Coturnix japonica: one gene and its partners. The protein of the gene in region 1 purifies or fractionates together with the protein of each later gene. This does not show direct contact. Links are inferred from orthologs where the notes say so. Each region holds a gene or a part of one and is shown in the gene's direction. Other genes may lie near its edges. The genes, in order: STK3, MAP1B, MAP1S, RASSF6, RASSF3 and SLMAP.

Region 1 (4,796 bases):
CAGTCTTCCAGGTACTGGGTGACAGCTGTTCTCTATGCTGAAAGATAATAGTAAAACAAAGACATTTGTCACTCTAGGTTGGAAAATGAAATATTATTCCTTGAAAGAATCCAGATGCTCGATTTGGCTCAGGAACTTAAAAAATCAGCATTTTTAATAAACCAGAAGATCTTAAAATGGGCACTTATTAATTCACTTTTTACTTGTTCATATTGGTGGTCACCACCTTCTTTTTTTTTCTTTCTCCCCACTTGTAAAAAAAAATATAGAGAGAATTTAAGCTTCAGGAAAATGTATTTCCTTTCTGCTTTCAACTTTTCTGTGTGGATATTAGTCAAGCAAACATGTACATCAGCTGTTAACTCTGTTTTAATCTCAACTGCTTCTCTGTATTGGAGATGCTTCATTTTTATTGTTTATTAAGATAAAAAGCAGTATGTTCTCACTTGGTTTTCCATTGTACAGCATTACTGAAAGAAACACTTATCAATAAATACTTTAGACAATTCTCAAATACAATGCAAAAAAAAGAGAGAGAGAGAATATTAGAGGAAAATACTTTGGCTTCCTAATAACCATTTGGGAAGGGAAAAATATAGAAAGCAGTGAGATAAGTGTGAACTGGGGGGGAAAAAAAAAAAGAAAAAAAAGAGGAAAATCAAAGTTGCCACCAGGAGGAGCACTACTAAAATATTCCTATTTATTTACAGACACAGTCATCTGGTGCTGTATCTGTAAACTGTCCGTCTTTAGGAGTATCTTGAGTTTTTAAGGGTATGGTGCTACACAGAGTGTTTTAGTGTGCAGGTTAGAAATGAAATTTAAGAACTCTGAAATATTTACAAATTATAATGTGGGAAGCTATGATTCTTTTGGTATTTGACAGTTTATTCAAATCTGCTCTGTATCCTGGTTTCAGCGTACTGTGTTGTTAGCTAGATTCTGAATCCAAGTGAGATCTGTTTTTGTGTCTCTGGGCCAAGACATAACAGAACTTGTTGTAGGAGCTGGTCTATTGGTACTCTTACTAAATATGGTTCTCCATACCTACTTTGACTACCCATTTGTGAAACAGGCACTCATACAGTGTAGCTGCTCCTTGCAATTCCATTTGTACAACAGGCAAGTTGTGTGCCATGTCAGGGAATAACAGGAAGGGAAAAGAGCTAGTTCAGTGAGAAATAAAAAGGGCCAGAGCTGGAGAATTGGGTAACTGGGTTTCTTTCTTTCTGCACTCCTTACAGGTTGTTCTGTAGTTAAAATATGAAGCATATTTAGCAAAAGGAAAAATTAGTTTTCGGGTAAAATCTTGTTTTAATGTTCTGTGTAACAACAGGCATGTTACTTGTAATAGGCACATAATAATGTTACCTGATATTTTTATGATATGAGCATACTTTCCTAACCAGAGATATTTTGTATCAGGATGCAATTGAAGTTCATTTACAGTAGAGAGAATGTGTACATACATGACTGTTTTCAGTTGGATTGGGAAGCTTATAAAATCAGTGAACATAGTATTTACATGTAAAATTTCGAAATTTGGCATACAGTGTCTTGACAGCGGTGGGCATTATTTCTTGTTTAGTCAATGAGAGAAGCATTAAAAATGTACTCATGTAGAAAATGCTTGTATGCATTCATGAAGTGCTGTGCTGTTGTGCACATGGTTGAAATCAAACTGCAAAAATGAATGGCATTTCCCAACACTATTTTCAAATATTGATATTCCATATAAAATTAATAATTCATTAACTGGATGGTCATTATTTCTCTGTTTTACATTCCTGGCACATCGATTCAAAATCATAGAATCGCAGAATGGGTTAGAATGGACCCTTAAGATCATGTAGTTCCAACACCCTGTTATAGGCAGGGACACCTCCCTCTAGACCAGGTTGCTCACAGCCCCATCCAGCCTGGCCCTGAATGCTTCCAGAGAGTGGGCACTCACCACCTCACTGAGCAACCTGTTCCAGAGTCTCACCACCCTCACAGTAAAGAATTTCTTCTTAATATCTAGTCAAACTCTACCCTCATCCTGTTTAAAACCATTTCTCCTTGTCTTGTCTCTACATAGCCTTCTAATAGGTCCCTCCCCAGCTTTCCTGTAGGCCCCCTTCAAGTGCTGGAAGGCCACTATAATGTCCCTCCAGAGCCTTCTCTTCTCCAGGCTGAAGAGCCCCAGCTCTCTCAGCCTGTCTCCCTAGGCAAGGTGCTCCAGGCCTCTGATCATCTTCATGGCCCTCCTCTGCACCTGCTCCAACAGCTCCATGTTCCTCTCATGTTGGGTGCCCCAGAACTGGATGCAGTACTCCAAGTGGAGTCTCACAAGAGCAGAGCAGGGGGGCAGAATCACCTCTGTTGACCTGCTGGTCACCCTTCTCTTGATGCAACCCAGGATATGGTTGGCCTTCTGGGCTGCAAGCACACACTGACAGCTCATGTTAAATCTTCCATCAGCCATCACTGCCAGATCCATCTCCTTGGGATTGCTCCTATATTTGTGCTTGGGATTGCTCCTCTTCATGGTGGTCTCTCAAGACAGGTTGTTGTCAAGATACTAGATAAAAAACATATTATTTAGTTAAGGGTGATAGCCTTGGTGTGATGATCTGCTTCAAAACAACCAAACAAAACATGTTACTGATTTTTAGTCCCGGAGAAGTGTACCGAGTCCAGAAGATCAGTGAGATATTCAAAGCTGGGTATAAAAGTGATTGTGTGGGACATGTTTCTGGTAAATCAATAGCGCTATAAAGCTGGCATAGGATGAAGTTTTTTCTTTTACCGTTATAGGTTGCCTTTTATTTTCACATTCTTTTGGTAGTATTAAACCTGTTAGTCTAGCAGTATAGCTAGGTCATGTGAAGAGATTAAAAAACAATGAATAAGCATCTAAATTATTGCATCTTAACTTGGTTTTCTGAAATGCTCTGCTGCATTCTGACCAGTGTTTCTTTTAGGATGAAGATGAGCTGGACTCGCACACCATGGTGAAGACCAATTCAGAGAGTGCTAGTACCATGCGGGCCACAAGCACGATGAGTGAAGGCGCTCAGACAATGATTGAACACAACAGTACCATGCTAGAGTCAGACCTGGGGACCATGGTAATAAATAGCGACGATGACGAAGAGGAAGATGGAACCATGAAAAGTATGTTTTTTGTTTACTTTCCTTTTCTGTTAATAATGCATTGTGTTTTCTCATCTTCTGTGAGAATAGTCTACCATCAGTGTCCTTTAAAAGTCAAGTTCGGTGGTTAAAAGTCAGGGAGAGGGCTGTTTGTTTCTATAAACACACTTTGTTCCTTATTGGAGAAGAGCAGCTATAGTGGGAGATTCAAAGTACTACACTTGGCTTTAGTATTTTGATGAGTCTTTCTGGAGGACTCAAACAGTAGCCTCCTGTGAATTCTCCCTTCTACTACCTGTCACTTGCATTTTGCCTCCTGTCCTGCATCCATTTGAAGCAGCTCCAAGGAGCTATACTCAAATGGTGCGGTTGTGTGGGGAGGTGTTGTTTCAGTGTTAGTGTTCCTGAAAACTCATTGCAACGCACCGTGGATTCAGCAGTAAGTACTGCAGATCTTGCTGCAAAATTATTTTGTAAATTCATGGGCATTTGTTAAAATTTAATTTGCTAATGCATGATTTAAGGGAATGGCCAAAACATATTGAAATAAATTAAGAAGTCAAAATCAACTTCAGTGGTGTGAAAGATTATATAACAAAGGGGGGGGGAAAAGGATTTCAAATGATGAACTTGTCAGTTGGACTGAGATGTGTATAACGTGTTTGTTAGACAGCAAACATACGTGTTTACATTTGATCTGTTTGTTACTTGGCTGAAGACTTCCCACTGATTTTAAGTTAAATCATTAATTTGAAAGGGCAGCATCTATAGGTGATGCTGTAGCTTTAGTGCTTGATTCTATGAGGCACAATTCAATGCTTAACTCCAGGCAACTGTTTAAATAAATTCGTTTTATGATTTATATCAAACAAGATTGCATTTCTGTTTGTGTGCAAAAACCTGCTATAATTTGGTTGAAAAGATTGTTTGGAAGTGTAAATCAGGTGCGTTTTCCTTGTTGTTGAATGTACAGCAAATTGGGAGGAGAGGAAGATGTGATCACTTCTGCTTTTTTTCCCTCTTTGTTATTTTGTTGTTGTTGTTGCCTTGTTTTTTCCTTCAGTGTTTGTAGCAATAAAGCAATCGACTTGTTGATTAGTGTTTAATTTGAGCAGGGTGATTCACCTCATGCAAACAGTGCGCGCTTTAATTTGTTCTTATGCTGACACAGTATTTTACCTATTAAACTGTGAGGGTAATGGAGGGGTAGATCAAGTGATCTTAGACTAACACATTTCAGCAAGTTAAGGAAGTGAGTAGTGATGGTGAATATTTGGAAAGATTATAAGCAAATAAAATAATTCCCATGATGGGATTATTGTGGACCAGGGGACTTGTGTGGTTTCTGTGCAGCCTTTCAAATCACTTAAGTTTTGGTAACTATCCATGCCATTTTCTATGTGCTGAGGGGGAATAGTACGTTAGTATGCCAAACCAATTAAAGAAAAAATGCCCTTACATTTGCACTGCAATCTCTTATCCTTTTAGTTTCTTACATTGCTGAAAACTTAAAAAAAACAAAACAAAAACATGTTCATATTTTCAAATTGAATCACTTTTGGTAGTGATTCCTATTAAGAAGGGGGATTGCCTTTCTGTACCTTGGGGGTTAATTAGTGTAGTCACTCATTCTTACATCTCATGAAACAGGAGAATGT
Region 2 (5,578 bases), on another chromosome or scaffold:
CCCCTGGTGTTCAGAGTTTAGTATGTGAAACATCCCCATCACCAGAGGGGCTGGCTGCAACTCTTCACCTGTTGTCACACAACGTGCTTACTGCACGTTCTTTACAGCATAATATTCCCATAGAACAGAGGACTATCTCAACAGGCTATTTCAGGTATAACTGTATCACCTACCCATTTGTCAGCATTTTCTTCTTTGATTCAATACAATTGAGCCTTTTTACTATGTGTTTCTACATGTATTTTTCACACACAGAATCATGGAATGCCCTGGGTTGAAAAGGACCATAATGATCATCTAGTTTCAACCTCCCCCCCCCACCATATGCAGGGCCACCAACTGCCAGACCAGGCTGCCCAGAGCCTCATCCAGCCTGGCCTTGAATGCCTCTAGGGATGGGGAACCCACAACTTCCCTGGGCAACCTGTTCCAGTGCATCACCACCCTCTGTGTGAAAAACTTCCTCCCAATCTCTAACCTAAACCTCCCCTGTCTTAGTTTAAAACCATTGCCCCTTGTCCTATCACTACCCATCCTTGTAAAAAGGCAACCCCCCTCCTGTCTAAATGCTCCTTTCAAGCACTGGAAGAGTGCTGCTCTTGCTACCATGTCATCGCAGCCACCTGATGGGGCTGTAAAAGTGCCTGCAGCCCTCAATGTATGGCAGTGCAACAAAAGCCTCTCTGGGATGCAACCTCCAACCACATAATGCTGTACTAACCAAGGAGCTCAGTGCAAGCAGAAGAATTACTCATTCTAAAGCTTCTAGGTGCAGTGGGTAGAGATGATGCTATGGACCAGCACCTGGAGCAACAGAGTTTCAGTCCAAGATGTGGGCAGAGACGTTCTGGGATTGTCAATTAAATGACAAGTGCATGTCGATTAGAATGACTGCACTGTGCCCCAAACCAAAGTGCTTACTCTAAGAAAGCAGACCTGGGGTATCACTTCCTCCAGGCAAGGACTGTGTAACCAGGGCACACCAGGCCACTAGAGCAATGAGTGCTGCAAGGACCTGCATGTTGACATCTCCTCAGCCAGCAATCAGAACTTGTCTTGTAAACCAGGCTATCAACATTTATATCTTCTCCCAGGTCCTGCATCACTTCAGCCACACAAATGATGCTTAGTGTAAACTACTGCCTGGCTTCTGTGAAGTGAGAACATCTCCAGGAGGCTGGTTTATCCCAGAGTACTCCATCCAGTTTTAGGGGAGGATAAAACACTGCTAGGTGGTAACTGAATTTACCTTTTAAGGGGGTTTTGATGAACATGGGAGAGCAGACATCTGGCTCTGGCATGGTTTTACTCAGGAACCCGCCCTTTGCTTTTGTGATGGAAGGTGTTTTCCAGCTCCACTGGAGCTGCTGGTAAAAAGGAGCCACCTGAAGCCCTTTGAAATTCCAAGGCCTTAGCATTACGGTTTCTCAATGCTTGTCCACTGCTGGAAGCACCCTATCCATAACCCTTGGGGTGAGTCACAAATCCATGCACACTGAAGGCATGCAGGAGCCCTACGTTTGAAGCATCAAGCAAACTGTAAGAATACCACTGCGATTGCTAGCCGTAAGGGTTATCGAGCTGCGCTGCAGCACCGCAGGGCGATGCAGAAGGCCGGGTCCCGGAGCCGCATCCCGCCCGGTTGGGCGCAGCCGGAGCTCCGCAGGGGCCTCGGCCACCGAGGGCTGCGGGATGCGAGACCGCGGGGCGTTGGGGTCCGCCGGCGACCCTCGGGCGTTGTTCGCACCCCGCGTCCTTCCTGCTTCCGGGGGCCGCCGCGGGGAGGATTTGCTGCAGATGACATCAGCCGTGGATGCTGGAAAAGCGGCGGCGGGGATGCGCCGGCTCCCCCCCTTCCTCCTCCTCCTCCTCGGCAGGTCCCTGCCCTGCCCCGTCTCCGTATAAAAGCGCGGCCGCCTCCCCGCCCGCCCTCACTCCCTGCCGCCTGCGGAGCCGCCGCCGAGCGGCCCTTCTTTCTCCCCTCAGCGCCCCGGAGCCGCGGGGCGGAGCGGGGGGTGCGATGGCCACCGTGGTAGTGGAAGCGGACTCGGAGCCCTCCTGCAGCCTCCCGAACCCTGCCGCTCCCTCGCCCAGCCTGTCGCATCGCTTCCTGGACAGCAAGTTCTACCTGCTGGTGGTCATCGGCGAGCTGGTGACAGAGGAGCACCTGCGCCGCGCCATCACCAACATTGAACGAGGTGAGATGGTGGCGGCGGCGGATCGCGCGGAGCGCACGGTGCGCGGCTCCCCCTGCGACCCGCACGGCCCCGGCAGCCGCTCGGCGGCCGCTCCCCGCCCGCTGCCCAAGGCGCCCCGACGGGGGGCTCCGTGCTGCTGCAGCCGCGCCCGCTGCACCCCCTGCGGGGCGGGGGAGCGCCGAGCCCAGCTCCGAGCCCCGGCGCTTCTCTTTCTTTAACTGCGGGTCCCGCCCGGCCCCGCCCGCACCCCGGGGCCCCCCGCGTGGTCCCCGCGCCCGCAGCCCCTGCCCCGCGCTCCCGCCCCGCGCCATTGTCGGGGCTGCGGCGGACGCCCAGCCCGTCTGCCCGGAGACACCGGCGGGTGGGCGTGGCACAGACCGCACTGCGGTCCCTATGGCAGCCCGGAGCGGACAAAGGGCGCCTGCTCCAGCGCCGCCGGGAAAGGGGCTGGGTGGGGGCTGCAGCCCATCCCCATCCCCGTCACCATCCCCATCCCTGTCCCCATCGCCGTCTCCGTCGCAGCGCCGCAGACCCCGGCGGCAGTGGGGCGTTTTCCCAGCGACCGCAGGGCTGCGGCTCCATCCCTGCGCATTGTGCCCAAGTTTCGGCAGCGCGATGCAGAATCCTTCGGGACCCAAGCATGGCACACACCCACCCCTGTGTTGAAAGAAATAAAAAAGATGCTGGTAACGAGGCTGCAGTCTGAGTGCCCAGCCCCGTTATTGTCCATCCCGGGCTGCGGCGGCTCGCTGCTCGTTTGCCCTTTCCTTAAGGTGGCTTTGGGTGAAGGTACCACATGTGAAATGTCCGAGTTCTGTAAGTTCTTGATGCGGTTTCTAATAAAGGAGATTGCGGTGTGCATAGAGAGGTGAAAAGCCCTGTTGCTGTAAGTGTGGTATGAAGCACAAAGGAAATTATTGGGGGACCTCATAGTTTGCTAAACTAGCCTAAGATGTGATTTTTGGTTTTTTTTTAGTGTATACCTTGTTCTGGGCTGATGAAAGTGCAAAAATCAGAAATACGCTATTGTGTGAAAGGAGAGAGGGAGCCTGCAAGGGATTTGATACCAGCCTTGAATGTAGGTGTGGTTCAGCACTCCAGCTAGGACTTCGCTTGTCTCTATTGTTGTGTTCTCAACCCTTTCTGCTGCAGTTGGCGATTTCTCATGGTTCTTTTTCTTGGCTGTTCACAGCAAAGATCTGCCTCATTCCGGCTTACCAGCTTCACCGTGACCCGTTGATCTTTATCTCAACCATTGTCTCCTAGGGAGGACTACTGATGCAGATGCTTTGTCATTCAGAGCCTCTTCAGCATTGCGCCTCTCTCCCTCTCTCGTTTTAACTAATTGTTGATTGTGTTGAAGTGAATTGGCTGAATTTCAATTAAATTGATGCAATTTATAGAGCAAATGGAAAAAAACTTCTGTAAAGGCATCTGATGTCATCCTTCCTCAGAAGAAATGTTCTTCAGTCGCTTCTTGAAGCTTCTATTGTGAAGCTGCTGCTGCATAGCTCTGTTGCTGCTACCTCCAGCCAACAAGCTTAACACCTGCTTACAGTTTTAGATATTCAAGGGAAATACCTTAGTGTTTTTATTCATCATTTTGGTTGAAAAGTCACCTCATTCTTCCTGATGTCAGGTGATTTGACAGGGATCTTGCCTGCTAGGAAAAAAATCAGATTTTGGGGTGCATTGTTCTGGATCAGTACACTCTGAGTCTGTAGCTCTGTCTATTTGAGGGCTTGACTAATCTTTCCCTTTGGAAAGTGCAGTAGGGAAAAACTGGCTTCTTTCAGCCTTTGTCCTCAGTAGAGCCTTAAGTGGTTTTAGGGTTCTTGATAACTCTGCCTCAAGGTCTTCTCTGGTGCATCTCCTAAGTACCACCAGAGAAAAGTGTGGATTCACGCACTGAACTGCAGAGCAATATGCCAGCAAAAAACATCTCCTGATAGGACATCAGTGGCGTGATGCTACGTAACCTGGTGGAATGCAGAGTCATTTCTTAATATATCATGAAGTGGGAATTGCTTGGCAAGCTGCATTTTCAGTAATTACATTTGGGATGTCATTCTGCTGAGGGGGCAGTCCTCCAGCCCACCATCCAGTAGAGAAGAAGAGGGGAGTAAGGAGAAAGCTTCAGGATCTTTCCACCGATTTGGCAGATGCTGCTGGGTGTGCCCTGTCTGCTGTCTGATTAGCCCTGTGTCTAGTGGCGCTATGCTCCAGAGACTGCAGAAGGAAGGAAATAGCTACAGCTCAGTCATCCTCACAGTAGTTTCTTCCATCCTGATAATAATACACATCATTGGATTGACCTTGGATTTTTGTTCCAGATTTACTTCCATTGCATCCAAACTTGATTTGGTTGTATAATTTACTTGATACATTTATACTACATTTTAAGGTGTTTGTATAGGTTTTGCATCCAAAATGCTGAATCATGCATCTGCAAATCTGGCCTATTTTACCAAATCTCATCCTCAGCTGCTGTGTGGATAGCATGCCTAGGCTATTCTTTGTAGTTGTTTTGCCCTAAGTACTGCATTTTGGATACTGATGGGCTCAGTGGTATGACTATGCCTAATCAGAATCATAACCCACTGCTAATCTGGATTCACAACAAAAATGGTTTGGGATGGTGGGCAGGCTCTGTCATTAGCAGCAGTGCTGAATCATAGTCCATATTGCTTAACTGACCTCCAGAAAGCTTTGCAGCCTTCCCACGCAGGTTTGCTGTTGGAGGCCAGCAAGCTGCTGTCTTCTTGCTTCTTCAAGTTCAACACCCAGTGTGCTCCAACTTCATGATCAGCATCAGTTCACTACTCATATATTTCATCTGTGCTGTACATGTGTGGCAATATATCATGTTTACTTTCTTGCTCTCAAATGTTCCAACACCTGGAAGATATTAAAGCTTGCTGAGCTGTGTGTGCGTGCCAAAACTACGCCCTGAAAATGCACCATATGGCCAAGAGATTTTTGAGAAAGAAAAAAAAAAAAGGAGACTTGCAGAAGAGTCACCACTTATTCCTCTAAACGATGATGTACAAGTCAGGAAGCGGAGGTGATTGATGATAGTTCTGTTATTTTACTTCAGAGTGGTAGTGAAACATAGATGATACTGTGTTTTCAGTTCTCTTTAGAGCTTAGTATTCCATCTCGCTAACTGGGAGGATATCCCAGAGACAAACATGCTTACACCTTGACTGGACTGCTGACAAGGAACAAGTGCTCAGTGAATTCTCTCTGAAAAAGCTCTTGAAATGCAGATGTCTGTATTTGCATGGAGTACCTCCTCGGAGCTGCAATGGGAGACCAGCAGAGCAGATCTGGTTTCTCTGCTCTTTCTCCTCCTCATCCTTCAGCCCTGCAACATGGGA
Region 3 (5,553 bases), on another chromosome or scaffold:
GGGATTGGTGCGTGGCGCGAAAATCCCACGTGGGGCGCGCGTGGGAGCGGGGAAACCCCCGCCCCGAAACTACCCCCCCCCCCCCATTAATCACCCCCTCCCCCCATTCATCTCCCCCCCGTCCCCATTCATTTCCCCCCCCAGGTGCTGTTCGCAGCCATGCAATGATATGGGGACACGTTGTGATGCCGGGGGTCTCTCCGTGTTATTTAGGGGGGGGGATTTGGGGGTCGCCCACCCGCCCACTCTGCGCATTGAGCGCCCCCTGGTGGCCGGAGTTGTGTCAGTCCTCCAGCGCTGCCCGCCGGTAGGGGGCGCTCTACCCACAACTCGCTGCTTCCGCGATGCACGATGGGAAATGGAGGCGAAGCTCGCAGCCACTTCCGCTTTGAGGGCGGGGGAGAACTGCGTTACCCAGAATGCACCGCGTGACGAGGAGAGGGGGCGGGGCTTGGAGTCACGTGTAGAGCGGCCAGGCCGCGGCCTCGGCTTAAGCAGCGTGGGGCTGGGGGGGGGGGGGCTGTAATGTGGGACCCCTCCCCTTATTGAGCTTCAGATGGAGCCCCACACTCATAGGGGGGCATGGGGGGGCTTGGAGGGACCTGTCAGCTCAATACAGCCCTGATGTGGGGTAGGGATGGGGGGCTTTGAAGCCTTGGGGGGGGGCAAAGCAGTGCCCATTTGGGGGTCCTGAGGCTGCAGCCATTGGCATTAAGGAGGAGGAGGAGGAGGAGGGGGGGGGGTCGTTCCTGCCTCCTCCTGCCCCCCCGCCTCGAGGTGCAGCCCCCCCCCCATAGCTGTGTTTGCTCAATGAATTGGCCCCCGGGCTGCACACAGCGCTGACGTCCATCCTATGGCTCATCCACATCCCAAGGGATGGCACCGCAGGGATGTCTCCCCTCGCTCAGCACAGTGTTGGGTTATTGTTGGGGGGGGGGGGACACAGCCCATAGACAGACTATGGGGTGAGGAGGGAGACCCTGCCTGCGTCAGTGGGTGTTTGCCCACCACCCACGGGCTGTTGAGGGGGGGGATAAAGGCAGCTGAGCCCCGCATTGTTGGGGATGGACGTTGGAAGATGGGCACTGCGTGGCTCTGCCTGCTCTGTGCAGCCAGCGCCGGCCTCGTCCCGCTGGGCAATGGGGGGGAACGAGGGCTGTGGGCAGCCCCACATCGTCAGGAGCCAGAGCTGGTAGGGGGCTGAGGGCTGGGGGCTGAGGGCTGGGGGCTGGGGGGGGGTCCCTGCTGTATGTACCCCTCATTGGGGGGACGTTGGCAGGGTTTTAAGGACGGGGGGGTCCGTGGTGTTGGAACCTGGGTGGTTTTTGGAGCTTATCTCATAGCTTGGGTTAGAAAAGGGCCATCCACGTGGGAATGGGGTGTGGGGATGAGCAGCTTTCACCTCTTTGTTCTCTCTCTGCCCATTGAGCTCCTGCCCCGAGGGGTCGATGCCAGAGGTGCCGGCGTTGAGGCGCTGCAGGAGGTGCTGGAGAAACTGCGACACAGGGAGATGCCACCGAGCACCAAGAAACCGGGCAGGGTCCCCTCGGTAGGGCCGGGGGGGTCTTTGGGGGGGTCTTTGGGGGGGGGGGGGCACCCAGGCCTGTTGCTGATAGTGACAGCTCTTATCTCACAGTGCCACCTCGGGGAGCCCTGTGCTGTGCGGGTGGGGGCTCGATTTGGGAAGCGTTGTAGCTGCCCCCCCGGCACCGTGTGCAACCTGTACATCCTGCATTGCTCCTAAGGGATGAGGACAACAAGGATGCTGCCGTCTATTGGGATGCTGCCGTCTATTGGGATGCTGCCGTCTATTGGGATGCTGCTGGGTTCATGCTGTGTTGTGTGATATGGGGGGGGGGGGCTATGGGTCTCAGCCCCCTCCCCACGTTGAGATCTGCTTCTCTCCGTTGATCTCAGTGCCTTCACCGATCCCTGGGGGTCGCATTAAACCACTTGGACCCTCTGCTACCGCCTGGCTCTGCTATTTGGGGGTTCAGTGATGCCATTGCAGGCTCTAAACCGAGCTGTGGGGGGGTGGGAGCAATAGGGATGCAATGGGGCCGTACCCAGCGCTATGATACACTGCAGTCTATGGTCCCAGAGCCGGGCCCCACCCGACGGCCCCACCCCGCCATCGCCCTTTTAAGCCCACCCCTCCCTCCACCCTCTCTCCCTTCACACCTCGCCCTCCCATTGGCCAGCGGTGACGTCAGTGGGCGTGGCTCGCCGGAGCTGACGCCAAAAAGTAGGCGTGGCTTAAAGGGGGCGGGCAGCGCGGCTGCGGGGGGCGCCGAAGATGGCGACGGCGGTGGCGGCGGCGGCTCCTCCCGGTCCGACCGTGGGGCCGCGCCGCTTCTCGCTGCTGGCGATCGTGGGTGGCGGATGTCACCGGCCGGGGCTGCTGGCGGCCGCCCTGCAGCAGCTGGAGCGAGGTGAGCCGTATATTGCATCCTATTGCGGCCCCATCGACGGGGCCCGGCCACATCAAAAGGCCTGAGGGGGGGGGAGGGGGAGTAAGGGGGGGGTCGTTGGGGCGGGGTCGTCGTGGGATGTGGGGGGAGCTGTGGGCACCGCCCCCCTCCATATGGATGCTCGGGGGAGGACGCAGCGCCAGCATCAATCAGTGCCTGCCCACCCCCGCGGTCCGCCCCCGTTCTCTTATATCTCCTATGTTGCCCCCACCTCCCCCATCTCCCCCATCTGCCCCATCTGCCCCATATCCTGGTGGTCTGCCCCATATCTATGGGTCAGCCCCACATTATGGGTCAGCCCCATATCTATGGGTCAGCCCCATATCTATGGGTCCAGCCCCATATCCTTGTGGTCTGCCCCATATCCTTGTGGTCTGCCCCATATCCTTGTGGTCTGCCCCATATCCTTGTGATCAGCCCCATATCCTTGTGGTCTGCCCCATATCCCTGTGATCAGCCCCATATCCTGGTGATCAGCCCCATATCCTGGTGATCAGCCCCATAACCTGGTGATCTGCCCCATATCCTTGTGATCTGCCCCCCCTCTTTTAGTCCCAGCCATCTGCCCCCACCTCCCATCCCTGGGGGCTGCTTTGTGTAGGAAGAGATGCTGGGGGGGGGTCTTAGCTCCTCCCTCATTGCCAGCCCAGAGCTGTGATACCTCAATGCCGGAGCAGCCCAACGCTGGGGACACCCATGTGTCACTATGGGGGGGGACCAAAGCCAATGGGGAACCATTAGAGAACGGCTCCAGCAGCTCTTTGTGCAACCCCACACTGCGGCTCATTGCGCCATCAGCAGCCGTTAGTGATGGTGGTGGCAGCCCTTCCCCCCCCTTCTTCCTCTTCCAAAGACCCCCTGAGAGATGGAGCTGCTCTATAGGTCCAATTAGTTGGAGCTGCAATGGGTTGGAGGCTTCCCTTCCCTTCTATGGCAGCTCTCACCCCGTTAATCCCATTCATTAGCACCGCCTTTGAGGAGGTGCTGGGAAGGCTCTGCCGTAGCCTCAGGGTTTGGGTTTGGGGTTGTGAGTCACATCATGGCATACAGAGCACACACCAGCAGTGCCACCATCACACCCAAGTCCCCACTCTATCCCCATTGATTGCAGTGGGGAATAGAGAGGGTGAGGAGTGGGGACAGTGGGGTTCTGTCGCCTGCTGTGTGTATGGGGACAGCAGGCAATGCCCATCCTGCAGGTATCCGCTCCTGGGACATCGACCTGACCTCCTGCAACCTGGATGAGCAGCTGAAGCTCTTTGTCTCCCGTCACTCCGCCACCTTCTCCAGCATCGTTAAAGGTACCGAGGTGACACTTAGAGCTGGGGACAGCACAGCAATGGGGCTGAGTGCCACGGTCCTTACCTGACCCCATGGCAGTGATTAATTCATGCGTCTCCAGAGGAGATGGGATGAGATGGGATGGGATGAGATGGGATGGGATGAGATGGGATGGGATGGGATGAGATGAGATGGGATGAGATGGGATGGGATGAGATGGGATGGGATGAGATGGGATGAGATGGGATGAGATGCTCTTTGCTACACAAGCATTTCGCTGCTTCTGGAAGCTGGATTTGGGGAGGAGGTGCTGACAGCCATCACAGCCATAGAGGCCAACATGGTGGTGGTGGTGAAGGGGCTTTATGTGTCTGTACCTTTATCTCAGCCATCCCTGGCTGCTGTTTGGGGCTGAGCCCCGTGATTCCCACGTGGGAAGCTGCTTCCTACACCAACAGCCACATTCATTCCTCCCCTTGAGGGTGGATGCTGGTGGGATTGTGTGGTCACTGTGGTGCCGGCGTGTCTCATCCCATGTGTGTTTGCAGCTCACCACCCCTTGGTGGGGCTGGGGTACCCCATGTCCACATTGTGTTTGGCTCCTGGGGGGGTGGGTGTTTGCTTGAAGCCAATGGAGATCCTCTGGGGGACCCGGCTGCTCCCTTTCCTGCCCCCCCTCCTGCAGCAGGAAGGAGATGGGAAGTGCAGCAGATCCCCTGCTGTCCCGGCTGGCAGCTGTCCCTCTTCCGTAGGGGAAGTGAACAGGTTCTATCCCCATCCTGGGCATGTCTATGTCACCCCCTGACCCACACACAGCCTGGGGTGGGGGGTATAGGGGGGTTGTCCTTATGATCCTGCCACGTTTGGGGAGGGATGGGTGGCAGCTGCTGTCCCTGCAGGTCAGCGGACCCTGCATCACCGCGGTGATGTGCTGGAGACCCTGGTGCTGCTCAACCCCTCCGACAAGTCGCTGTGTGATGAGGTGAGTGGGAAGGGGGGGGGGGGATGTAAAAGGTGTGTGAGGGGGAACAGGGGGGCAGCATCCTCACGTGTCCTCACGCCCCTGCAGCTGCGCAACCTCATCACGGATGTGTCGCAGCACAAGCTGCTGGTGTTTGCTGGGCCCTGCGTGGAGGAGACGGGAGAGTTGATGCTGCAGACCGGCTGCTTCTCGCTGCGGGACTTCATCCAGATCTTCACTGACAAGGAGGTGAGGGGCCGGGCTGTAGGGGGGGGGCACTGTCTGCTCACGTCTGCGGTGTCTCGGCTGAGCGAGCGGAGCTGTCTGTGCTGTGGGCGCATCCCTCCCTCTGCAGCATGAGGCTGGTGGGAGGGTGGCTGCTTTCTGAATCCCAATAAAGGAGACTGGGGGACACAGTTATAGCTGGGAGTGAGGCAGGGCTGAGTGAAGGCCCAGAGATTGCGTGGTGTGTGTTGGGGAGGGAGCTGCCCTATACAGAGGGACCCTGGGTGCTGCCTGGTGTGAGCAGGGCCCTGCCTGAAGCTCTCCCCTCACAGGTTGGGGAGATCCTGAGCTCCGCAGACCCTTCAGCCAAAGCCAGGCTGACCATCAGCTGCCCTGACTTTGGGGAGTGGAAGGACTCGGGCTTGGACCATCACAACCTGCAGGACTTCATTGAGCTGCGCTACAACCCAGGCTGCATCCTGCCTGAGATGGAAGGGCTGGAGGAGTTCATGGAGTACCTCTCGGAGTCATTGGAGCCCCAGTCCCCCTTCGACCTCCTGGAGCCCCCCACCATGGTGGGTTTCCTCAAGCTCTCCAAGCCCTGCTGCTACATCT
Region 4 (3,667 bases), on another chromosome or scaffold:
GTAATTGTATTTTTCTGGAAACAAAAAGGAACCGTCGTTTAGCATGAGTAGTCCCTAGTATGCACACTGCATTGGATCCAGGCATACAGAGAGATCCAGAAAGCCACAGTTAAAAACGACACTCTGTGCTCTGTTCTGTTTGTTTTTGTTGTTTTTTTCCCCTTGGAATTTCTAAAAGCCAAAAGAAGTTGATTTCTGTACAGTTGTGCAGCATGTTCTGAAAAAATAACTTTTAGAAAAGAACCCTTTTCTCTGAACCTGGTGATGCAGGTAAGTGAATCAGGAGAGATCACAGGTTGCTGTCTTAAGGATAATATTCTTGGAAAATCGAATTATCATCTGAAAAGAAAGTTGTAAGAAATAGTTAGGGATGCTGAAAGGAAACTCTGGGAAGATCTGTTTTTGGTCTAAGGTGGTGTGTGTTGCTCCTTTAGACAACGTGGTAGCATTGGCAATCGTAAGGCAGTGGAGTAGAAGGACAAAGGTAGTGACAGCACAGCTTTAAATCTTATCCATACTCAGTGTCTTCTAACTCGCCCAATAGACAAAGGCCTAGTTTGCGGGTTTTGATTTAACAGTTGAGAAGCATGTAGCGTATCTGCTGCTGATAAAATGCTTGAGAAACATATAAATCAGTCTGAACAGTTCTTTGGTTTTGTGTTTACAGATAGAAAACAGTCCCCATGAATTTGCACTTTATATAATCCATGTGTCCGGAGGTAAGCCAGATATCACTGTGGGGTTGCTTCATTTCTGTTTATCTTCTGTGTATGTGGGGGGACTGCTCACCTTGGAGTGACAGGATTCATCACAGGCATCTGTCCTTGCACACAGTGCCTAAGCACAAAGCAGCACTTCTGCTTTTCTGGGACCCCTTAGATATGTGAGCCTCTCTGATGGAGAGGAAAACCTGAATAGTTGTGTTCTGGGTGCTTTGGGTGCTGTGAGTATGGCTGCTTCCATTAAACAAGCCTCAGTTTTTCCAGTAAATAACATCTGCTTGAGAAACTCTTCTGCTGTAACTTCTGTTCTAGATGACATCCTAAGACATGACAGTCTTAGGATGCCAGTTTCCATCTGGCAGTGTTATGTAATATTTTAATTGAAAAAGGGATATAAGAGTTTTAGAGAGTGCTAGAAGATACCCAGCGTGGCTTTGAACTGCTAACTTGGTGAAAACCAGACTAACTAAACCCACTGCATTTGGACTTCACAATTTCAAGACAGTCTTGGATCCCCCAGATATCTAGTTCGAAGTATTCAATTTTCCAGTGCCCACTTTCACAATGTATTACAATTCCATTTCTTCTTGAAAAGATTGTTGTTTGTTTGTTTATTGTTAAGAATAATAGTTGAGAGAATGGGAGAACAGAGGAAAATGTACCTTAAATGTCAAAATGTGAATTTGAAAGGATGTTTGAAAATTATAAAGCGAATTTTGTTTCAGTGAGTTACAGCCACACTGTCAGGCCTGGAACCAATCTCTTAAACATGTACTTGATTACCTAAACTGCAGCTTCTTCATTTTGCGTTTTGATAGACACTGGCCTATCATTGTACAAATGTAGGTGTTGCATCTTCCTGAGAATATGCATTAGAGACTTATTATACCCTTAATAATAACACATCAGGCAAAGATAGAAACTTTGCCAAGAAACAAGACTTCCAATTGCATCTAGTACTTAGAGGCGCTATTGTGTATTCTATATATCAGCACATTGCTTTTAAATCGCAGAAAAGAAGCAGCTGAGAAGTGGAGACATTCCCTTACTGCACAGACTCCTGCAGGGGCCATCAGAGAAGGCTGTCAAGTTTTTTCTCATGGACAGGGATGTGGAAGAGGTCAGCAGCGATGTATGTATATAATCGTTCTAACAGTTCACAGTATTCTTCCCAGTTAATATAGTCACTAATGGGCATTTCTCTTTGTTTTTTTGGTAGGTTGCTCAATATATTCAATTTCATCTTCCCTTTTTGGAATCAATTCTGCACAGGTTAAACAAAGAAGAGGAACAGGAGATTCAACAGACAATTGCAAAGTAAGAAGTGAAATTAGGGGGGATCACTTTCGGTCTGGGAGAATGCTTACAGTTATAGTTTGGCTCAATAGATTGATGCATTAATGTATCAGTGTGCGCTTACTGCTCACACTGAACTTTGTGGGAATCACAGTTGTTTCTGTATCCTGCAGCCCTAAATGAGCTGTTGCTGTGGAAGATACCAGAGTACTGCTTATACGAGGTTGGAGTTTTCCATAAAACCAGGAGCCCTAGGATCACTTCTGTTGTACTTTGGATGTCTTCTCAGCCTTAAACTGATACTTCAGTTTCTACTTGCTGCTGTGTATTTCCCTGGAATGTGTAAATGCAGTAAATACTGTGGTACTATATAAGTGTCACTGCATTCAATTTAGATAGATGCTGAACTCCAGGTGCAGATGAATGTCCTATAGAACTTAATTTCTGAAGAATGGCATGAGTGGTTCTGATGGTAGCTCAGTATTCACAACAGCTATAGATTAGAAACGCACCAGTGGCTCTTCAACCATGAGGTCAAAACCAATGCAAATCTAGACGAGCTGTGAATCTGCTATCCAATGTCCATCAAATCATTTTCAACAAAACCAGCCAGGAACAGAAAGAAAAGAATAAATACAAGCTATTGCCATTTTCTGTCAGAATGACTTTCACTGCAAAATTTTTTAACCATTCAACTAACATGTTAAAATTCAGGTTAAAAATGTTTTCCAGAGGATTCTGTGTAATTAAACACATTCTTTCTCTCTCTCTTGTTCTATCCCTCTCTCTCTCAGATACCATAAAGAGAAGCGTATGATATGCCAGCACCTTCAAAATCGGACTTCTAAAAAAACAGAGACTACTGTTTGATGTGAATGGCATATTGCAACTATCACCCACTGCCTTTGGCAAAGGAAAGTCTGTTTTCTTGAATGTGCCATCACTGGGGAGCACTTAGAGCACAAGGGTGTGCAAAGTGCTTCTTTTGATAATTATGCAGCTGAAACTGCATATGCTCCACTATGGCTCTGGAATACAAGTTGGGGACCACCTAAGAAGATGGACTATATCATCCAAAGAACGAAGTCTGAATCTAACTTGAAACTTCAGATTGGGAAAAATCCTGTGCTGAAAAGTACTAGGCTTTAAAGTCTTCTATATTCCAAACCATTACCAAGAGTCTAGTATATAGGCAAAATGTTGCAATAACCAGTGTGCTAGTTGTGCCAAAAATAAGAAAAGAATGTATATGACTTTTCTTCTATTAGAAAAAAAAAAAAAAAAGATAAATTTTGTTAGGAGGAAGCTTTTCTGTAGAGTTAAGTGGCAAAAGGTATTTACATATCTAAGATTGCAGTTAGGCATTTCACATAGCTTACAAAAACACCTATACAAGAGAGACCTGAAAGCCCAGTGGTTTTCAATTGGTAGGTACCTAACTAGTCTAAGCTTTAACTCAACGTCTGAAAAGTATAAATCGAAGTTCACCATCTTCATGGCTACTCTGCTCTTAAAGTATGAGCAAAGATATCTCTGACATGCATTTTAAGCTCCAGAGAGTTCCCACTAAGTATTATGGCATTTGCTTGACTGAGTGCTAGAAGGCACCCCATGCCTTTTTTCATTGAGACAGATTATTCCATATTACT
Region 5 (4,796 bases), on another chromosome or scaffold:
AAGGAAGACCAAGGTTAGAGTTGGGGCATTTGGGTGACAGAGTGATTTGTGGGGATCTGTGTTATAGGAGCACTTGGAACAAGCGAGGTGGAAGAAAGAAAGAAAGATAGGGGGAGTTGGTAGTCTTAGTCACTCTCATCTTTTTTCTGTGGAAAAGTAGCATGTGCAGTAAGAGTAAGTGATATGGGGATATTTCACAGAAGTCAGGAGAACCCACTAAAGCAACTGCATGGATCTCCCCTGCTGGAGCAGGGGGTCTGTCAGGCCCTAAACGTCAGCACTACAGGTCTGTGAGATTGAAGTGTTTTAAAGAGAAACCATTGTGTCAGCAATGCCCACAGTCCCTGCTTGGACAGACAGCTGATGAGCGTTGTGGGTATGCACATTCTGCTTGCATGTGGTACTTGGTGTGCGTGATGCTCTCTGCGCCATCTGATGAAAAAGTTAGGTGTATGTCGTGTTTGGAAATACCAGAAGATGAAGAAGGTATCTTCAGCATTGTGTTAGTGCATTTAAGAATCTGCCTTCTTCTGTAGGCAGACATTGACAGCGGTTGCAGGAGCTCAGATGTTTCTGGCTGTCTGGAAAAAAAAAAAGTCTCAGAATGATGATAGCACAGCTGTGATGTTTTAAATACTTATTTATAGCTACAGAGCTGTGTTGTATTTCCTCCTCCCGCCCCCGCATATATTCAGATCCTGTGCTGACTAGAAGCTGCTTCATTCATATTTGAGCTTAGCTCTGCTCTGCTGCCTGTCCATAAAGCTCATTAGTTCAGAATGACGTTGGAGAATGTGTAGATTTGTGGCCACAGGTGCAGGTCTGTTAAAATCTCTAACGTTGGCTTGCACTGATCATTCAAAACCTGTCAAACATCGTAATTAAAGATGGTTAATTTCTGTCACTTCTTCTCCTCCAGTTTATATATGCAAGCTGTCCGACCGAGAACATCCCCTCTACCTGCGTTTGGTGGCAGGCCCCAGGACAGACATGCTCAGTTTTGTTCTACGTGAGCACGAGACTGGAGAGGTCATGGTATGTTATGCTCAGCTTTTTGGTCCTTTAACTTCAGGGATCCTGTTTGGTCTGTGCTGATGTAATGATCTGGGTTTTTTTGGGGGGGGGGAAGCTTTCATTTTTTCTTCTCCTGATTGAGTTTTTTTGTAAGCGTTTAGACTGTGGTTAGACTGGCCTGCTGTTACTTGCAGAACAGAAGACAGCATAAAAGAGCTGAACATTTTCAGATTGGTGAGACTTACGAGCAGGGTTCCTGATGCTGCGTATATATAAATGCTTTGTGCATTTCCTGTTATCTCATCTGTTGTTTTCTTTCTCTGTCCTCACAGTGGGAAGCTTTCAGCCTTCCTGAACTGCAGAACTTCTTGCGTATACTGGACAAAGAGGAAAACGAGCAACTGCAAATCTTAAAGAAGCGTTACGCAGCTTACAGGGACAAACTTGAAGAAGCCCTTGGTGGGGTGTGGAAACCTGGTTAAAAGGGGGCCAAAGCACTCTCAGGAAAAATGCACACAACCAAACGTCAGTATAGCATGCCAAACCCAAAGTACAAAAGAGCAGCAAAGAGTAGTTTTCTTTATTCAGAAGACTGTTTTGTGATGCTGGGGTACCTGAATTTTGCTATAGACTTAGTTCCATAAGCCAGGTCACTTAGCATCTCGCACCCACATGCGTAAGGGATTCTGCATGTTTGTACATCAGTTTGCAACCCTCTGTGTGCCTAGAGAGTTTTCCAAGTAATCTTGGTGCAAGCTGTGAAACTGTAATCGATTTACTAGGATGCTATAAAATAAGATTATTTTTTTTCTTCTTCTTTGCTTTAAATGGTAGCTTTACAAGTAAGGAGGTGCAAATTGATTAGTTTAATAAAATGAATAAATCTATCTGGAAAATAATCAGTTGGAGCACTATCTTTGAAATGAAATTGATTTGCACTACCTTTCTGTTTTTGAATAGTTACTGTATAATTTGTGAGAGAACTGTTATAGATGGAAGGCAAATGAGACCTTGTGTTTTGTTCTGTGAGAGTTGTGGAAGGCTTTCAGTTGGTCTTCCCAGAGAAGGTAAGGAGAAAGTTGAAGAGAGGGTTAGAGTTGGAGGCAGGGAAGGTGTAATAACCAATGGAGAAGGACTTGTTTTTAGATAGAAATAGTATTTATACAGAGGAAAGTTAAAATACTAATTCTATAAGAGTAAAGTTTTAGGATGTTGTAATATTGTGACTTAAGTTTTAGGGCTTTTTAGTTGCATAAACCCACACTGGAAAAGAAATAAAGATGATTGAAATATTGGGAAGGAAAAAGAGGCAAAAGCTGAATAAGAACGGAAGTGGAGCTGCACGTAGAGGTCACAGTTGGAGAAGCTGGTTCTGTAAACGTGTCGTTGGAAAGTGCAGCAAAGCTAAACAAGAGGCTGCTTACTTGAATTATGGAATGTGGATGTTATCTAAGATAAAACTCTGTGAGAAGTGCCCATCTAGTGAGCGTTTAGGATCCAAGCTGTAACTATGGTTGCATTTGCTCTTTATTGGAAGTCAGATCTTTCCTGTGGCTCAGCAATCCATGTTTAGGATGGATAGTTTTGATTTGTGTTATCTGAAAGACAAAAATAGATTCATCTGCTTCCTCGTCTGTTAAAGGGGCTCGGTCAGGCAGAGGAAGCCATTTCTTATTTGTGTTTCCAACATAACAGAAAATTAAATTATATTGGCTGTGTTGGTGACCGAGTTTAGCAAGTCTTGCTGGTAGTAATTCAAAGCATTTTTAAATCCTTAATTGAAACCTGATTACCAAATTCCTTACACTGCTGATTTACTTGATTTAAATGTAGGAAAAATGTAGCAAGAAAACGTTCTACTTTATTGTAAATAAAATTGTGGTTCTTTCAGAGTTATTTATCTAAAAAGCATGCTGGAAAGAAACCAAAGAAGTGGGAGTGCAATAGAGGCGTGAGGCAGGTCGGGTAACCCATACTTCAGTCATTACCGCACCAGAGAGGAAACAGAGCTCTGTAGGATGGAGGTGAGGCGGGGAAGTGCTGTAGGCTGAGGGGCTGCTCCAGCTGGTGCAGTGTTTTATTTTGTTTTCATTTGGGTGGGTTTTTATTTCCTCCGCTCCAAGGATGTTCCTTTTGAACTCCCAAGGAGTTGTTAGAAGTTTGGCGACATCTAATGGATACGGTGTGAAACTCCGCCATGCTCCTGGTCATCAGTTTGACATGACTGTGCCTTTGTTTCCTTTCCTTAAGCTTCTTTTTCAAAACCCCTTCGCAGGTGTTTTTTGGTTAAAAATGAAAAGAATTTGACAATCGTAATGTTTTAAAGCGCTAAGAGAAATTAAAAGTAGGACTAACTATAAAGTATCTATAAGGCATATCTTGTTTGTTTGTTTAATTTCACATGTAACATTGTAGTGCATGTGCAAGTTAGTAACATTATCCTCAAGTGAGACACTTTATAATGGTTCAGGGAATGCTTTTCTGTTCTGTTATGGTTTGTTTTTTCTATGAAGCAGCAGCATGTCTGTGGGTATTCTGTTAACATCTACTTATTTATATGCCTGCCCGTAACGATGTAACCTTTACATAATCGCTGTTGATGTTGAACCATTTGTTGCTCAGATTTAAACACTGTTTGAGTCTAAAAGCGGAGTATAAAAATATGTGAATTTTGTTTTTACTTGAACTATCGGTCTTTTAAGTGGGCACATCTGCATTTACTTTAGCCAAAAAAACCTCAATCAGTGTTGGATGCACTATGAGTTTGGAATTGGGGGGAGAAAGGGGCAAAGAACCCAAACGGCTCACTATATTTTAACTCTGTCTTAGTCCATGGTTAATTATTGTAAGATGTCGTGTGTGGGGTTAATTATTATTATTGTTATTATTATTATTTTTTACACACTGGCAATTACAACAGCTTTAATTTAAAGAAAAGTCATGGTCGTCCCTGGCCACCTTTTCTGTTTTTAATTTTAGCGTCAAATTAAACTGTCAAAGCTTCTGTTGCAGAACTGCTTTCATTTCTATATGTGATGGTACCAGAATGATCAGACGATGGGGTTGGGGGGGGGGGGGGGGAGGAGGGGAATGCAGGGAAACATTAAAATATATGTCTTTAAAAACAAACAAGCATTAAACTATTTATAATTTTGACAAGCTTAGTTTTATTTTTATAGGGAAGTTTTTATTCCCCTAAAAGTTATTGATGAAATGGCAATTGATGGTTCCATCATTAAAGTTGAAGTTGGCAATACTTCGCTACGTGGTATGTTTTTATTTTCGTGTTGCCTGGAGTTTGTGTTGGGATGGTTTGAGTGCTGGATGAGGATTCCTTGTGGCACATGGTTATGGGAACTCCCTTCTTGCTTCTCCATGAGTAGTCAGGATGGTACCTGTGCCCTGGGAGTGAGGAGTGCCACACAAGTACATAAGCCTGGCTGTGTCTTTGTGGGATGGTGATGCTCTGTGATGCTCTTCTGGTCCCTCCTGTGCTTTTATTAGGGGGCAAGCACAATAACAGCTCTCCTTTGACCTTGGTGTGAATCCAAAAGGTGAAAATCCAGCTGTGCTCCTGACTGCCCAAGAACCTCCGGCCTAGTGTGTGGGAGAGGGGAGTGTGGGGAGGCTGCAGGGTGTGAGTTGGGCCTGCGTTGGTGAAAAGGCTCACAAGGACAGAGCTGGTGAAGCTGCTCTGGCTCCGCAGGTTGGCTTTACGTCAGGATGTATTGTAACAATGTTAGAGGTTTGGTGACAATGGGAAATAAAAACAAATCGCCACC
Region 6 (4,796 bases), on another chromosome or scaffold:
ACTGAGAGACCTCTGCACTCCTGTCATACAGGTACAGCCAGATCTGTTCGCTGTAAAGTCAGTAAAGCACAGTGCAGTTGTTAAACTCAGTTTTGATACTGTAAAGTTCTTCTTAGGTACTACTAGCCTGGGACAGGTGTCTGTTATTTGATTGTCTAGCCTGTAAAAGCAAAACAAACAAAAGAAGGATTGACTAAAGTTCAAATGAATCAACATTTTCAATGCAAAAACCAAAATGTTTGGAAACTAAGGGAGCTTCTTTACGAAGTCATCAGTCTCGTGGCACTTGCATTAAGCCAGGGCTTCAAGCAGTGTACGTAGTGTGAGTGCATGGTGAGGGCAGAAGTTCTGCAGGGGATTGTACTGTACTTGTGTGGGAAATGGTTTCTCAGTGGTATCAGTGTAGGTAACAGCAATAATGAACCACCCCACCTCCTTAGCCTGAACTGCAGAATGGTTTCTGGCACCAGGAGAAATGTGGAGTTAAAGTAAGACTTGGTAAAACAACAGACGTTCTTAAGCCTGGCTGAGGTGAGGCACTGAATAGCGTAATTTTCTTCAATTGAATTTGTATTAAAATCAAGTGAAGTGATGGTGCAGAAACACAGCAAGAACATTATTATACATTAAGGTAATGCAGGTAGTCCCCAGCTGTGAAATAAGGGGCAAAGGGAATTGTGAAGGAGATGGAGTTAGGTCAGCAGAAAATGTGTGATGAAATCTTGAGAGGTAGGAGCGGGGAACAAGGCATGTTGAATTGGAATATGAGAAAGTTGTCATTTCTGGACAGCCCGATTTCTACTTGTCCCAGGATTGCATGGCTTCACCTTTGTGCACCTTATTGCTTTTGTCAGATTGTCTTTTGTTTGAGCTGAGGTGAAGCTGTTTGGTACTTTGATTCAAAAGCTTGTGAAGACAACAGCATGGTGTGGCCATGAGTGCTATGAGTGGTGAAGTTCTGTGTTAACCTGAATTAAAATGACAGTAGATGCAAAATGATTGAAAGCTCCATTTGTTCAATAACAAATTTACCTTCCTGACTGTATTTAAATTATGAACCTTACCTTAACTGAGTCTAATGAAAGATCCAGAAATGTTTAGATTCATCAATTCTCTTATTTCTCAGGTTGCTGCTAACACGCCCAGTATGTATTCTCAGGAATTGTTTCAGCTTTCACAGTATCTACAGGTAATTTTTTTCACGGCAGCATTAATTGGATTAAATATTTAATCTCTGACTGATTAAAAAGTAACCAAAAATGTATATTTTTGTCTTCCCGTTTGTAAGCAGGAACAAAGCACTTTACCTTATTCTGTAGTGAAACAATATAGGAAGTGTTATAATTGAACCTAACATAGCTCCATGTAAGCTTCTGGGGTTCTTAATGAGCAGTATGAACTATGGCTTTCATATAAGGTGTAATGGTAACGGCAATTTGTATTCCAGTTAACGATATGGGTTTTGAGACTTATTAATTTTGGATGCATTTGCTGAAGTAGCAGGAAGCAACTCAGGTAGATGCCCTTTTGTAAGAGGGCAAATTCAGAGCTATTTACCAGTCTGTTCACTCTTGTATCCTGGAATTGTTAAAAATTCCTTGCTGACCCAAAATAAATTCAAACACAAATAGCAATTCTTGCATGGCATTTATTTCCTGTGACCCGATTTAGGGACTAGCAGCTCAGTGCACAGAAGCTGCCAAATCTGCCTTCTGGTCGGTGCATCAATTTTATTGCTGAAATTAGTGACAAAAGTTCAGAGTGGGCATATTACTGAAAAGTCTTGGAACTGTTTACTGTGTGTGCTCTGCATGTGCAGTGTATGCTTGAACAGATTAACCTTTTTGGGAACCTGACATTGTAAGACAACATTTTCTAATGGAAATATCCAAATGAAAGTGTGGGTGAATAAAATGGGATGGTTTTACTGAAGTTTTGAATATGCTCACAATCTTTTTTTTTTCCTTTAAATTCAGTGTTATTTGGTATCTTTGCTATTGCTTCTGTTTTGAGTTGCACCAGCAGAACTGACCAGTTGGCTCTCTTGATCTCATTGTAGGAAGCCTTACATCGGGAACAAATGTTGGAACAGAAGCTGGCAACCCTTCAGCGACTACTTGCTGTTACACAAGAGGCTTCAGATACTAGTTGGCAGGTACCAGAAAGCATCCTTTCCCTTTATAGGCTGAAAAAGGAGCAAAGTATAAATTGTTTCTATTGCTTTATAAATAACCTGGAAAACAAACAAAAGAAAAGAGTAAAAAGCATTTTGTGGTTCTCAAACTGTAGAAGACAATGTTTAATAAGTTTAATGTACAGATTCGATAACTTTAAATGATATTAATTGATTATTTAATCGATTAACTGATTATTGATTGGACGGGTAATGGTTTTAAACTGAGATGAGGAGGTTTAGGTTAGATATTAGGAAGTTTTTCACTCAGACGGTGGTGACGCACTGGAACAGGTTGCCCAAGGAGGTTGTGGATGCCCCATCCCTGGAGGCGTTCAAGGCCAGCCTGGATGTGGCTCTGGGCAGCCTGGGCTAGTGGGACCTTGCCTGTGGCAGGGAGTTGAAAACAGATTATCTTTATGGTCCTTTTCAACCCAGGCCATTCTACGTTTCTGTGATAAATACTCCAGTAATGTAATTCTAAAGCAGAAGTCCACTGGATCTACTTAAAATACAGTGTTCTGTTGAAATGGCTTATTTGTTTTGCCATGACTAATACTAATATGAGGTAAAACTTCTTCTCTTCCAGGCTTTAATAGATGAAGACAGGCTGCTATCAAGGTTAGAGGTTATGGGAAATCAGTTACAAGCATGTTCAAAGGTAGGTAATTCATTTAGTACAACTCCATACTGGAATACTGAAAGATAGCTCTTCTGAAGTATTTTGAAATGAGACACTCAAGAAAGCAGTTTGAACACAAACTTCCTCATGTGGGACTGTGCTGTGCAGTTTTAACCTGATTAGGCTGAAAATTGTAGGGCTGTTCTGTATTTCATGGAATCATTTTAAGTTTAGATAAATGGTTATCTATCAGCATTTTTTGAGCCCAAACTGGTTTTTCTTTTCATATACTGGAAAGGAATTTGTCATCTGTGAGAAGCAACCAATCTGTCAGCCCTGTTTTCTTTTCAAATATGGATTTGAAAAAAGGCATTGTGCATATGCTGACATTCAGAAGCAAAGTAAAAAGAATTCTCTGACTTGTGTGTTATTCAGGCCATGTATGCTTTAATTATTTTTTTCTTCCTCTCAACTACCTAGATGATATTTTATTTTTTGCAGGCCCTGTCTGAGATCTCTCAGATGGGACCTTAGAGCATTTGGCTTTGTCTGACAGTAGGACTCCTAGGCTTGACTCTGTTTTGTGCCTCAAAAAATTACAGTTCTGCTATGATCAAAGAATTGCAGGTGTGCACTGTTGTACATGGAAGTGGTTTATACCCAGTCATGTCAAGAATCCTTATTCAGTGATTTACCTGCAATGTTTTCTCATCTACCAGCAAATGCTGAACATTTTGGAATAGAACAGATTATAGCACAATCTCACATGTTTAATCAACAAAATATTAACTTACATTTTTTGTATTCGAATTGCATTTCCAGAATCAAACAGAAAGAGCTTATAGCATTACAAGAAGATAAACACAACTATGAGACAACAGCCAAAGAGTCCCTGAGGCGGGTCCTACAGGAGAAAATAGAAGTGGTCAGAAAGCTGTCTGAAGTGGAGGTAATGAACTAGTTTGCTGGAAATACAGAAATACTTGCAAATGCTGCTAATTAGATCCATGTTTATTGCCTGTGACAGGCCAGTGTCTGTCATATTGTGGCACTTACAGTATATTAAATAGAGCTGTTTATTTCTTGGATGCTAATCTTAGGCTTAAACTGTTAATGGGGGCTTTAAACTTCCTTTTTCCCCCCACTCTTGAAAAATATTAAGCTTTCTTAACATATTTAGTATGTTTGGGAAATAAGTGTGGGTGAAAATAATGAAAAGAATTCTCTGACTCCTCCATTATTCTTTTTCCTCTTCAATTTGACTCTTGGTGGAGAAATATTAATCTAACCTCAGTATGGGGTTTCCTTGCATGCTCTCTAGCACATCCTTTCCCCTTCACGCAGAAAAATTATTGGGTCCTGGTTGGAACTGGTGCTTTAATTATTAAATAAGGTAGTGTGAAATGCAGCTTTGGTTAAATTGTGGCACTGGACTGTTTTGATGATGAGGAAAGAATACTAAGTTAAAGCTTGTTACCAAGAAATACAAGTACTTTTTTGTTTACTGTCTGTAATGTGATACAAATGAAGAAACAGATCTTGAGTAATGAGGAGGAAACTCTATATGCCATTTAGCTATGCTGTTGGCCACAGCTGATGCCAGCTTGTACTGGAGCATTCCTTGTCTCCTGAAGAGTTGGCTGCCTCTTGAGTAAAGGGCATCTTACCTGAGATGCTTGCACACATGGTGGAGTTCAGAAAACAAATCTAGAAATGGCATAGAAGAGAATGAGGGAGATGAATTGCACATTTCAGTTCTTTATTCCCATTGGTCTTAATTGTTTTCATGGCCTAATTTGGCTTTGAGGTGTGGTGTTGCTTTTTTTTCACATGCGTGAAGCTTTCTTCATGTAAGTTCTATTAAGTAGACTATTACAAAGGCTTTTGCCAGTGCTTGTTTTATTGTGTTTGGACTTGATTATTAGGAGCCGAGCAGTTTGAAAACAAATATGATCAGTTGCATATATTGTTTTGAGGGGAAATGTAGGTCAGCTGGAATGT

Evidence for each region.
Region 2: the proteins of STK3 (region 1) and MAP1B purify together in Homo sapiens (affinity purification with mass spectrometry; 4 studies listed by BioGRID and IntAct, with this or other methods). This does not show direct contact. The link is inferred for Coturnix japonica from reciprocal best matches to the Homo sapiens genes STK3 and MAP1B.
Region 3: the proteins of STK3 (region 1) and MAP1S purify together in Homo sapiens (affinity purification with mass spectrometry; 3 studies listed by BioGRID and IntAct, with this or other methods). This does not show direct contact. The link is inferred for Coturnix japonica from reciprocal best matches to the Homo sapiens genes STK3 and MAP1S.
Region 4: the proteins of STK3 (region 1) and RASSF6 purify together in Homo sapiens (affinity purification with mass spectrometry; 4 studies listed by BioGRID and IntAct, counting the BioPlex papers as one, with this or other methods). This does not show direct contact. The link is inferred for Coturnix japonica from reciprocal best matches to the Homo sapiens genes STK3 and RASSF6.
Region 5: the proteins of STK3 (region 1) and RASSF3 purify together in Homo sapiens (affinity purification with mass spectrometry; 4 studies listed by BioGRID and IntAct, with this or other methods). This does not show direct contact. The link is inferred for Coturnix japonica from reciprocal best matches to the Homo sapiens genes STK3 and RASSF3.
Region 6: the proteins of STK3 (region 1) and SLMAP purify together in Homo sapiens (affinity purification with western blotting; 3 studies listed by BioGRID and IntAct, with this or other methods). This does not show direct contact. The link is inferred for Coturnix japonica from reciprocal best matches to the Homo sapiens genes STK3 and SLMAP.

Annotation. Positions count from the first base shown.
Region 1 is NC_029517.1:115,653,402-115,658,197, reverse strand, and holds part of STK3 (serine/threonine-protein kinase 3), read left to right. Parts: intron 1-2,966; coding exon 2,967-3,159; intron 3,160-4,796. UniProt on the Homo sapiens protein: Stress-activated, pro-apoptotic kinase which, following caspase-cleavage, enters the nucleus and induces chromatin condensation followed by internucleosomal DNA fragmentation.
Region 2 is NC_029547.1:23,152,614-23,158,191, reverse strand, and holds the start of MAP1B (microtubule-associated protein 1B), read left to right. Parts: upstream 1-1,917; 5' UTR 1,918-2,020; coding exon 2,021-2,198; intron 2,199-5,578. UniProt on the Homo sapiens protein: Facilitates tyrosination of alpha-tubulin in neuronal microtubules. Phosphorylated MAP1B is required for proper microtubule dynamics and plays a role in the cytoskeletal changes that accompany neuronal differentiation and neurite extension.
Region 3 is NC_029543.1:2,348,867-2,354,419, forward strand, and holds the start of MAP1S (microtubule-associated protein 1S), read left to right. Parts: upstream 1-2,249; 5' UTR 2,250-2,296; coding exon 2,297-2,432; intron 2,433-3,670; coding exon 3,671-3,772; intron 3,773-4,651; coding exon 4,652-4,734; intron 4,735-4,821; coding exon 4,822-4,962; intron 4,963-5,270; coding exon 5,271-5,553. Other genes in the region: cocaine- and amphetamine-regulated transcript protein-like, read left to right, coding at 854-1,192, 1,430-1,549, 1,637-1,744. UniProt on the Homo sapiens protein: Microtubule-associated protein that mediates aggregation of mitochondria resulting in cell death and genomic destruction (MAGD). Plays a role in anchoring the microtubule organizing center to the centrosomes. Binds to DNA. Plays a role in apoptosis.
Region 4 is NC_029519.1:45,379,645-45,383,311, reverse strand, and holds part of RASSF6 (ras association domain-containing protein 6), read left to right. Parts: intron 1-667; coding exon 668-719; intron 720-1,735; coding exon 1,736-1,854; intron 1,855-1,941; coding exon 1,942-2,039; intron 2,040-2,812; coding exon 2,813-2,888; 3' UTR 2,889-3,667.
Region 5 is NC_029516.1:30,674,015-30,678,810, forward strand, and holds the end of RASSF3 (ras association domain-containing protein 3), read left to right. Parts: coding exon 1-13; intron 14-919; coding exon 920-1,035; intron 1,036-1,346; coding exon 1,347-1,496; 3' UTR 1,497-4,270; downstream 4,271-4,796.
Region 6 is NC_029527.1:6,474,035-6,478,830, forward strand, and holds part of SLMAP (sarcolemmal membrane-associated protein), read left to right. Parts: intron 1-1,126; coding exon 1,127-1,189; intron 1,190-2,059; coding exon 2,060-2,155; intron 2,156-2,762; coding exon 2,763-2,834; intron 2,835-3,617; exon of another isoform or gene 3,618-3,627; coding exon 3,628-3,744; intron 3,745-4,796. UniProt on the Homo sapiens protein: Associates with the striatin-interacting phosphatase and kinase (STRIPAK) core complex, forming the extended (SIKE1:SLMAP)STRIPAK complex.